Linked DNA regions of Saccharomyces cerevisiae S288C. The protein of the gene in region 3 interacts with the protein of the main gene of each other region in a biochemical or structural test. Each region holds a gene or a part of one and is shown on either strand. Other genes may lie near its edges.

The links. The genes of interacting proteins can lie anywhere in the genome.
Region 1: of the proteins of CDC27 (region 3) and PPH21, one has a biochemical effect on the other in vitro, tested with the Saccharomyces cerevisiae proteins (one study listed by BioGRID).
Region 2: of the proteins of CDC27 (region 3) and CDC28, one has a biochemical effect on the other in vitro, tested with the Saccharomyces cerevisiae proteins (4 studies listed by BioGRID).

The regions. Positions count from the first base shown.
Region 1 is NC_001136.10:219,162-222,691, forward strand, and holds PPH21 (phosphoprotein phosphatase 2A catalytic subunit PPH21), read right to left. Parts: upstream 1,611-3,530; coding exon 501-1,610; downstream 1-500. Other genes in the region: RDI1 (Rdi1p), read right to left, coding at 1-127; 60S ribosomal protein eL41 RPL41B, read right to left, coding at 2,563-2,640; SRF1 (phospholipase D regulator), read left to right, coding at 3,266-3,530. UniProt on the Saccharomyces cerevisiae protein: Exact function not known, phosphatase 2A performs an essential cellular function.
Region 2 is NC_001134.8:558,246-561,474, reverse strand, and holds CDC28 (cyclin-dependent serine/threonine-protein kinase CDC28), read right to left. Parts: upstream 1,398-3,229; coding exon 501-1,397; downstream 1-500. Other genes in the region: IFA38 (ketoreductase), read right to left, coding at 1,747-2,790. UniProt on the Saccharomyces cerevisiae protein: Cyclin-dependent kinase that acts as a master regulator of the mitotic and meiotic cell cycles. Required to drive the G1-S transition. More than 200 substrates have been identified. Substrate specificity is in part regulated by the bound cyclin protein.
Region 3 is NC_001134.8:66,561-71,325, forward strand, and holds CDC27 (anaphase promoting complex subunit CDC27), read right to left. Parts: upstream 2,886-4,765; coding exon 609-2,885; downstream 1-608. Other genes in the region: BOI1 (Boi1p), read left to right, coding at 1-258; ALG3 (dolichyl-P-Man:Man(5)GlcNAc(2)-PP-dolichol alpha-1,3-mannosyltransferase), read right to left, coding at 3,191-4,567. UniProt on the Saccharomyces cerevisiae protein: Component of the anaphase promoting complex/cyclosome (APC/C), a cell cycle-regulated E3 ubiquitin-protein ligase complex that controls progression through mitosis and the G1 phase of the cell cycle.

The DNA.
Region 1 (3,530 bases), on a different chromosome or scaffold from region 3:
TCGCCAAGGATTCGTCTTCAGCATCCAGATTTTTGTATTCGTCAACAGTTTTTTTGGCTGAAACTTTATACTGATCGTTGTTTCTCTCCTCTTCGAATTGACTAAAGTCGGTACTTTCTTCGGCCATTATTCAGTTTTTCTCTAATAAAAAAGCTCAATACTCGAGTTATTCGTGTGGCTAGAAAAAGAATCAAAGTAATACAAGCAGCCTGAAGAATGGAAGTTCTTTCCACTCAATCTTTATAACGTTTCCCTGATCTATCGCGAAATTTAAACGATCGCGTTAGAGAACCGTTTCACCCGGAGTAATGATCAGAATGATTAAAGCGTTGGGGAGGAAAAAAAGCCTCGTATTGATTGATATATCTGAAGAATAATAAAAGAAGAAAATTTGCAAGGCAATTTGCAGTTTATTTTTGGCTAAATGTGTAATTAACTATGATAATGGTAAAGGAGAAAAGTGAATATATATCTATATAGATGCATATATGTATACATACTCATAAAAAGTAATCTGGCGTCTTTCTGCTGACGCTAGGTTCACCTGGTCTTACGGATGGGTCGTACTGTAAGAATTGTCTATTATGATTCTCGTCCACTTCCATGATAGCTGCTTGATTACCACATCTGTAGCAGTAATTAGGAGCACTGAAAATGGTGACAACATTTTGCTGGTGAGACCAAGCATAGCCTTCCATTACCAATTGGTGAGCTCTTGCTATTAGTGATAGATCATTAGTGTGATTGAATTGCTCACTGACATCTTGTCCAAAAGTGAAGCCTGCACCTCTGGGACTGATTCCCCATCCGCCTCTATCGTCAGGGTCTGACCATAGAAGGTCACACATAGGACCTTCATGAGGCACTTCCTGTATTCTGTTCAACTCTCTCACCTGATCTATGGTTTCTATCATGGGGGAAAGTCCTCCATGCAGACAGAAAATTTTATTATCTACTAATGCGGTTATAGGAAAATAATCGAAAAGATCTGTGAACATTTTCCACACGTTTGCACTGCCGTACTTTCTCAAACATTCATCATAAAACCCGTATACTTGGGTAATCTGCCTAGACTCGTGATTGCCTCTCAGTATCGTAATTCTATGTGGGTATCTGACTTTCATGGCAACTAGGTAAGATACAGTTTCAACAGAATAATATCCTCTATCCACGTAATCACCCATGAAAAGGTAATTGGTGTCAGGACAAGGGCCACCAATCTTAAAAAGTTCTAACAAGTCATGGAATTGACCGTGTACGTCACCACAAATGGTAACAGGCACGTTAATTGGTTTAACATTCTCCTCGAACTGCAACACGTCCACCGCCATTTTACATAGTCGTGCTACATCGTCTTCTGATAGTGGCTCGCATTTACTCAAATGCTCAATCCATTGGTCAAGCTGATTTATATTTGTGTTATTCAGTTCTAGTGGTTTGGAAGATTTGTGATCTGCTATGCCCGAGGAACCAGGTTTTAAATCATCAACCGAGAATTCTTCTGCATTATTATCCGATGAATTGTTGTTGAGATCCATATCTTCAGATACTGTGGGAGTCAGCTGTTCGGTAACAGCATCTTGCATAGGCACATCTAAATCTGTATCCATTTTTCTTTTTGTTTATTGTTTTATGCGATAATTTATATCCCTCTTTCCACTATGAACTAAATAGGGGCAAAATAATTTGTTTTTTTCTTTCTCTTTTGCCTTATTTCAAAAAACACAACCGGTAAAATTAACAGTTTAAAATTAGATAATAACTCTATTCAACCTGAACTCACTAAACTCTTACTAAATTACTGGTAAGGAAAGAAAACTAGGGGAAGACGAGTGAAAAAAGAGCAGTCCAACAGGTGTATTTCTAAGAAGAATAAAACACTTTTTGTAAATATCGTGTCCACTGGGGCAATTTAATTTACACTAAAACTAATTGGAGTATGTGTATATCAAAATCAATGAAAGTGCAGCGTCTGATTCACTAATTACCTCCTTTACTGTGAAACGGTGCGTCGAAAGGAACCTGTAACAAAAACCTGCTAAAAAGAATGCCGAACTAATGTAATCCGGAAAACTATTTCTACTACTATGTGTTAGTCGATTAAAATAGCCGAAAATCTTTCAAGCACGACAGAAAGATTCATTATCATTCTCCATTTCACAGGTATTCCATTTTCCGTTCATTTTTTCACTTTTTGATTTTATCCTTAAAACCCGCCCGGTTCATCACTTTGCACGCCACAGAAACCTCAGAATAAGCTAAAGGGTAATATAATAAAGCCCTTCGATTCAATAATAGCATTACCCAAGAGGCATAGCGGCAAACTAAGTTGACAACACAAAATCAAATCGCTTCATTTTTATTTTATTAATGATATTTTATTAGAGAGGAAATTATGTAATATCTAGATATTAAATATAAAGTAGATCTCTGTCTAAAATATTCTTAACAAAATCTTATATTCGAAAGGATGACGGTCCAATCAAAGGATTGTATAAGAGAAATTAGTTTTCGAAATCAATTTTTACTTGACCTGAACTTAACGATTTGCTCTCAATCCGCTTATTTGGATCTGGCTCTCACCTTCCGTCTCTTTCTCTTAAGTCTTCTAGTTCTCTTCTTTCTCCACTTAGCTCTCATTTGGAATTAAGTCGATATGACTATCTTAGGATTGAAGTAAAATATAAGATGAAAACAGAAAACAAGCGAAATTTCAAAGAGAGAAGTGAAACAATAATGACGGATAACAATTATTTAACATTCAGAAATATTACATTCGTTAACTCTCCATATATATAAATCACCCCAGCAGAGGAAGATGGGATTTCTGCCAGCAATGATGACGGGTAAATGGATAGCATCGCAGCTGCGACACCTTTTCCATGGTGCGACACGCGTCGTACAATGACCTAAAAATCCTAAAATAAAATAAGATGAATCTAATAAGGAAAGGTACTGGTGAAATGAGATAAGGGTGTACGGGTGTGGTAACCGTCGTGAAATAAAGAAAGCATTCTGAACGATGAATACTAAATAAGGGAAAGTGGAAATAAACGAAGTGTCGAAAGAGGAGAAGAGGTCTTGGCTTTCATATAGTGGAAGAAATTCTAAGCTACAACACAAAGTCTCCAACCACCTTTTGTTTAGTCAATTATAAAAATACTTTGATTGCTATTTCGAAACCGTGAGATTGCTGAGAAGGGAAAGTGAATGATATTTTTTTGCATTTTTTGAGGCGTTCTTTTTTTTTACACTGACAAATTTAATGGGGGATTCTAATTCCAGCCAAGAAGCGTATTCTGATACAACATCCACGAACGCTTCTAGAATCGCAGATCAAAATCAACTTAATTTAAACGTGGATCTTGAAAAAAATCAAACAGTAAGGAAGTCAGGTTCACTGGAAGCATTACAGAATGCAAAGATACATGTTCCCAAACACAGTGATGGTTCACCACTAGACTATCCAAAATTAAATACTTACACGTTTGTGCCTACCACAGTGCCGCCTTATGTTTTAGAGGCGCAGT
Region 2 (3,229 bases), 490 kb from region 3:
AACAATACCCGTCTCGGTTATTCAACGGTGACAATGAAACTCTTCAAAATTCAAAGAGCAATGAATTTGCGGAGGTCAAAAACAAGAACAGAGAAAAAAACCAAGGGCGAGTCAGATGCGAAACGGCTTTAAACAAGCGAACTCCTTATAGTCAAAGAAGTTCAATTGAGGCCCCAGCATACAATGCGTTATTTCGTTTTGTTTTTCGTTTGTCTTTTTCCTCTTCGCTTTTTTTTTTTTTTTTTTTTTTTTCATTTTCTTTGATAATACGACCTCGGTAAATACGTCATGGAACACGCCCAGCTTTTAACCCCTGAAAAGCTCTCACTTTTACTTTCGCGTATAACTGAATGTTCCGTATATGACGATGAATATATTTTCTGATGGAGTTACCCATCATAATGTTGAAACTGAGTATATTGTATTCACTATATACTTTACTAGGCTATAATGACAGTGCAGTAGCATTTGTAATATAATAGCGAAATAGATTATAATGCTTATGATTCTTGGAAGTAGGGGTGGATGGCTGCTCTTCTGGCGCTAATCCGGTTAATAGGGTCATACGCGAGGAGTTTGTCCAACAAATCAATACCGCGTGGATCTAGACTTGGTACCACTTGTGATAGGTCTTTTCTGCGCCATTGAGGAAAGCTTGGCTTGAAATCAGGCAAGTAGACAATATCTGGCCATATAGCTTCATTCGGCGTTCCCAATACTCTGAATATCTTGAAAATCTGATCGATCTCACTATCGCCACTGAAGATTGGTTTCCTGTTACACATTTCGGCAAATATACAGCCGATGGACCATGTATCGACACCTGTACTATATTGTTTTCCACCCAGTAATACCTCCGGAGCTCTATACCATAGAGTAACAATTTCATGTGTGTAAGCTCTCAACGGAACACCAAAAGCACGCGCTAAGCCAAAATCACCTAGTTTTAGATTCCCATCTTTGTTAATCAATAAGTTCTGCGGTTTTAAATCACGATGCAGAATACGGTGTGAGTGGCAGTATGCAATACCCTTACAAAGTTGCATCATAAACTTCTTAACAATATCAGCTCCTAACGGTTGGTCCTTTGGAATACCCTCCATATATCTTTTCAGGTCCAAATCGAGGAACTCAAAAACAAGATATAGCTTGTGTGCATCAGAGTGAACAATATCGTATAATCTGACAATATTATCGTCTTTTAATTCCTTCAATAATGAGATTTCTCTGATGGCTGTACTGGGAACACCCTCGTCTTCACTCTCTAGTCTTATTTTCTTCAATGCGACTACTCTTTGACCTTGGCCAGGTCTTAAGTCTAACGCTTTATAAACAACACCGTATGTACCTTCACCGACTTTCTCAAGTCTTTTGTAATTTGCTAATTCACCGCTCATGTTCGAAGGATAGTTCTATTTGATCTGGGCTATTTTCCACTGTAGCTGATGTGCTGGCTTGAATATTTTTTCCAATATGATATTCTGGAAAAGCAGTATTAAATTTTCTTTCAAGAGGACTTGGTCCTTCCACCAATTTTTTTTTTTGAGTTCTTGTTGTTTTCCAAATTTTTCTCTTTTTTTCTCATTTAGGTTCGTTTTTATTTTTGGCGTTTGTTGCCCTAATAAGGCCATATATGTATATATTGGTACATAAGCAAGTATAATACATAAGCCATGCTTTTCTTGTAAATATATATATATATATATATATATGTATTGTATAAAAACTATCTCGAGAACGATAATTCTATTCCTTTTTAACCTGTCTTGCGGCTTTTTTTAAGGCTCTAATTCTGATAGATTTATGGAAGGAATAATTAATGGAGTTAACAATCTTAGAGTAAACGCCAAAGGTCTCTGTAATTACAAATTGATACACTGCGTGCGCCCAGTAAGGGGTCATAGTAGCGTATCTTTCTTGAGAGCCGCAGCGTCTGCCAACGCTTCTTAAAGTGGATTTTACAAACTGTTGTGGATTTGGGATCATTAAAGATGATCTTCTGATTTTAGACATCGAGCTAGTGACCAAATATGAAATGATTAATTCAACATCGATAGCATCTTTAGATAATTCCCCAGCCAAAGAGTTAGACCAACCTTGTAAGAATGATTTCGAACCACTGTATGTAGCCAAAAGTGGGGTGGGAATCAGACCACCAAATGAGCCCATGGTTAAGATCAAACCACGAGTACCCGACTTCTTGTTTTCAGCTTTCACAGTTTCCACAATCTTTGGTGCAATGATTTGTGTAATTAATAATGTAGCAGTGTTATTGATAGTGATAATATTTCTAAGCTCCTTCTCTTCTGTTTCCAAAAATGGAACAGGAATGGAGTGTGATTGACCAACATTATTGACCAAAACGGTGATTGGTAACTGCGCACACAATTCCTTAATGGATTCATAGTTGGATTCTTTATCCTCCGCAATGTCAATGGCTAGAATCTTTACAACGACATGATGTTGATCTTCTAGTTCTTTTTGTAAAGCCTCCAATTTAGATTGCGTTCTCGAGATCAATACCAAGTTGAAGCCACGTTTCGCCATTTGTCTAGCAAATTCTTTACCAATACCGTCACTTGCACCAGTGATAGCACAGTATTTACCAGTTTTAGCACCATACTTGTCGAAATTGACTGCTGGTAGTAAAAAAAGATCAAAAATAAGAGCTAAAAATCTAAGTGATAACGTTGTACATTTTAAGACACCAAGCCCAAAAACAACCCATAAAAGACCATTGATACACCTAAATCTTTCCCCAGCCTCTTGAAGCTGTTGCATAAAAGTCATTTCTTAAGCTGCACCGACACGAATTGATTGCTTTGAAGACTGTTCTTCTATCTGTGTTTCCTTCAGTCTCTTTTGAAGTTGCATTTCTGCAACGCTTTTATTCGTGAAATCTCTAAAAAAGCGAAAAATAAAAAGGCCTCCCGCGGACTTAAAACAGAACATCCGAAACATTACAAAAGGCCCCTACAATTATCTCTATAAAGGACTTCCAAATCCGAGACATTGATTCGTCTTAACACTATGAGTGTATCTTTTGGAGAATTCTGTAGTTCAATAGTTTTCTGTGAAGGAATTCTGGTTTCTTCGGCCCTTCTGGAATTTCAAGTAAAAAGTACAGAATAGTAAAATGCTAGTTAAAAATCTATGTATTCATTAAATTTAGTGCTGCTAAAAAGTTACAATTATAATAATATTATCAGTTAAGAAGTGTGTAGAATTA
Region 3 (4,765 bases):
GATATTGATACAAGCGTCCCTGTCATTAGTTCATATGCCACACCAACGATACCTCTAAGCAAGGCACAGACGCTATTGGAAGAAGCTAGGTTACAAACCCAGTTAAGAGATGCTGAAGAGGAAGAGGGAAGAGATCAATTTGGATGGGATGACACCCAAAATAAAAGAAATTCTAATTATCCAATCGAACAAGATCAATTTGAGACCAGCGATTACCTGGAAAGTTCAGCATTTGAATACCCTGGTGGCAGACTTTGAGAACTGCAATCATTAGTTACTTCTTGACCAACTTAAACACCTTAATAATTAATATTTAATAGAACATAATATAGTGATATAAAGTATATAAAAATAAAAAGTTTACGAATTAATACAATCAAATTAGACACTGATACTATCAAGAAGTACATCGCAGGAACCGCAGACATGATGTCCTCTTCTTTCAAATTACTGGATATATATATTATTATTATTGTTACCATTAACGTTATTATTATTAACTATTACTATTACATTAACTTAAAAATAAATATGAAACAACGAAGAACAAAAAGAATTATGAAAACATTTAACATGTTTCAATTTGTTATGTTTTGGCCAACCTGCGTTTATTCTTGCATATGACATTTTTGTAATTCATCGATGATAACTTGGTTACCCTTTGGATCCAAATTCATAGCAACAGTTAGCTCCTTGATTGCATCTTTTTTCCTCCCAACTATTCTATATGTTTGACCCAGCAAATAATGGGCTGTGGCATCATCAGGAACGAGTTTCACCAATTCTTCAAAAGTTTGCAAAGCAACATTATATCTTGTCATGGAATAGAGCAACTGGCCCATCTTATATTTGGATAGCGAGGAAGTCGGTTGCAAATGACATGCTAGTTCATAATATTGTAGAGCCTTTTCCTTATAGCCCAGCTTTTCTAAAGAACCACCGCAACAACAGATTAACACAACATTGACGGGATTAATTGACCTTGCCTTTTCAAAATATAACAACGCTTCTTCATATTGACCTAATTTCATAGCGCTCGTACCCAATCCGTAATATGCATTGTAATGCTGAGGATCACAAGCTAGCGCCTTTCTATAGCATGTCTTGGCAGAATCCGAAGAATCGTTGGAAGAATGTTCATGACCTTGCAAAGTATACGCGTATGCAAAATTTGGGTCTAACTGAGTAGCTTTTTCGAAGGCTTTTATTGCGGCATCATGATCCTTTTGCAATGATAGCAAATTACCTATACAACACCATGTTTCGGGCTTATTAGGCATTGTATCCATTAGCCCATTTGCCAAATTTGAAGATTTAACCTTGTCATGCAAATGCCACAGCAAAGTAGAAAAAATTTCCATATCTTTTACCCTTGCCGGTTGTAGGTCTTTCAATCTATTGAAATACTTTAAGGACATATCATAATTAATGATCTCAAAATGAAGTTTTCCTAATTGCACTAGACACCATGGCATTGTGTCTTTAATATGAGATGGGATTTGAGACTCGAACAGTCTTATTGCCTTGAACGAATTGTATTGTGATGACGACCTTAATATTAAAGCGAAATTATACATGATTTCAGGCAGCGTAATTGAATAATCACTCGTTAGTATTGAGTTACTGATTATTAAAGACCTTGGATTTTTCTTGGAAGTTGTTAACCTTCCTGTTGAGGAATATAGGTTTCTTGGAGTTTTGAAAGTTGTTTTATTTATAATGTTATTATTATTATTATTATTATTATTATTATTATTATTATTATTATTATTATTATTATTATTATTGTTATTTTGGTGGTTCCTATCGTTATTTAACAGTTTCGATGGAGGAGTCGTTAAAAGTTTGTTTCTGTTATAAACTTTGGCCAACGAGCTTATTGTAGGCTGTTTGGAGGATGGAGACACTAAGTTCATGGAAATGTTATTTGGTAGCGCAGAAGACGTCTTACTGTTGATTGCAGGGTTTTTAGGAGTTTGAGTATTTTTGTTCTGGCAGGTCCTTATTGATGTGTTCGCTTGTTGCTGCTGTGACCTTGAGAAATGCTGAATGGAAGAAAAAGAAGATGCCGATGTAGAAGGGGGAGAATTAGACGACTGAAACAGTGTATTAACATTATTATTGATATTATTATTGCCGTTTTTGTTTGTTTTTGAATATAAGCTAGGTTGTGAACGAGGTTCGAAATGCGATAGTGATGTAGACGGAAACGATGAAGCTGCATTATTATTATGACTATTACTTTTTTTCCCTGCAATGTCGAAAAAAACCCTCTTGAGATCCACGGTAGCTCTCATTTTACAAATCGCTTCGTAAGATTCCCAAAGGTAAGGATTAATGGCTAATGCTTCAGAATGATAAAATGCTCCCTCCTTAGAATGGTCCAGTTTCATATAAAGATTGCCTAACAGGCAATTCAAAGTGGCCAAATCGGGAATATGGACGAGATTAGAATTCAACACCATATTTATGCGCGTATTACTGCTGTTCGAAGAAAATACATTTATTATTGAGAGAAGAGTGAGGATAGCTTCGTTAACTCCCTGCGAAAGCTGTAAAGCACAACGCCCGAATATGTAAGCGATACCAAGATGATACTCCTTGAATTCTTTGGATATCTGGAACGCAGTGTGGTAGCTTTTATTCAGAAACAGCGAAAGTGCATATAAATATACCGCATCGGACCAGTAAACACTTGATTTATCGAGAATGGAGCATTCAGCATAGAGCAGTTCGGCCAAAAACTCTGCGGTACTGTAGTTCAACTGCTGAATAGCCTGCTGAATGCAGTCCTGAAGCTGTATGATGGTGCTCAAAGCTTGATCATCAAAGCTGGGGATTCCTCTCGAGAGGGTGAACGGTGCTAACTCAGGATTTACCGCCATGCTATTTTTATTATGTATCCTGCACGAAAAGTTCGTGTCGATTTATGAATAGATATGCAGTCACCAAAACAGAGTCTAAAACTCTCACAGCTAGGTATGGTTTTTTGATAAACTTTTCTGTGGCACCTTTGCTTGCACTTTGATCCTTTTGGTTTACTTTCAGCCTGTTCCATCCTTTTGATCAAAAAAAAAAAGGAAAATCAAGCGCGGGTAATAACGGCACCATTAAATACTAGTAGTACTATATAGATGGTATAAAGAAATGATTTAAAACAATACGATTATATGATATTTATACATCTGTTTCAGTTGAGCTTTTTTTCCATAGAGCTGGTGGTACGAAGATGGCTTTTGGCGAGGGCGACCGAACCAGATAGCTGCGTCAAGGCCAATAGAAGCAACAGAACAGTATTCAATGCCAACAATAGCGTGCTTGCTTGTGAGTTTGGTGGATAGGAATTCCAGCACCACTCGTGCAAGACGTACCAAATGGGACCAACGAAGAAGGGCATTCCCGACCAAAAGATCAGTATAGGCAAAGTCCAGTGATACCAGGATAGAAACTGGTAGTGGAGGGACCTTGAAAATAGGACGCCGATGAAGTTGGATGCGATTAGAACGAATGGAATAGTCTTGGCGGGATTGGCATTGAGCACTGCATTTTTCCTCAGCGGATGGCACAGGGAAGACCATAAATCGGGCAGGATGCGAGGGTATCTTGTGACGAACAGTGTGGTGAGCGCTATCAGGTGGCTGATTAAAAGGGCCAAGTGGAACCTCTTATCATTGAAAGCCTCTTCATCCATCATTTGCCAATTGATACTCCATTGGTACATAAACTTCCTGCCGAAATTAAAAGCGCAATGCAGGTACTGTTGCGGAAAGCTGCGCAGGAAGGGCACTGCAACTGCGACTTGCCATGCAATCATCGCAACGAGATCCAACAAAGTAAGGATTACGTTCGCGTCATTAAGGATGAATAGAGAAATCATCATTGCAGGGAAATACAACAGCGCATTCATCTTAATGCTCACAGCCATACTGTATGTTGCGGAGATCACCAGCGCAAGGGACTTCTTTAATTTGGGGCGCTGATGGCACCTGCTGGCCACGATAGCCCCCAAAACCGTGACGACCATAAACAAAGTAGTGAAGCAATCATTGAATAACCGTAGCACGTAAATAGAGTGCAATCTTTTAGAGAGGCACGCCAAGACCACACACCACGGTGGTAGATGTAAAAGGTAGTAACACGCCATTTGTAACGCCAGTGTAAGGAGATACAAGTATCTGAAAAACACTTGCCCGCGCTCAACGTGGTCCATTCCCTCTGTTAGCCAGTACATCATCTTGTAGATCAAGACGTGGCCTGCTGGATACACCAGCGGGCCCGTTCCACCACTCACCTGAGAGTAGTCCAGCATGCCATCGAGCTGAATCATCTCGATCTGCTCCATGTACGCCTTGTAATCGATCTCTGTGTAAGCTACCTTCTTAATGATAATCTTGCACAGCATGCTTTCGAACAAAATCAAAAGGGGCATAACGATAAGATTGGCCCTACAATCGAAGATCACGTAGCGCACACCGTCCTTGAGATCCTGCCACAGATCCAGCGGAGGTCTGACAAATTGCTTCCTTTGCAGAGACTTTTCACCTTGCGGAGACTGTTCACCTTCCATACTACTAGTATCTAACTCTTTCTCTCTCCCATACACACTCTATGATACTGTTTTCACTCCCAACTAGTGTACTGCGTTGTTCTTTAAGTTCGATAGCGAAATTTCTTTAGCTTGTTTACAGCACCCAGCAACCGCACACAGAATGTGACGGCAAATGCATTTTACATGGAAGGCTATCTACAAAACAGCAATAAAGAG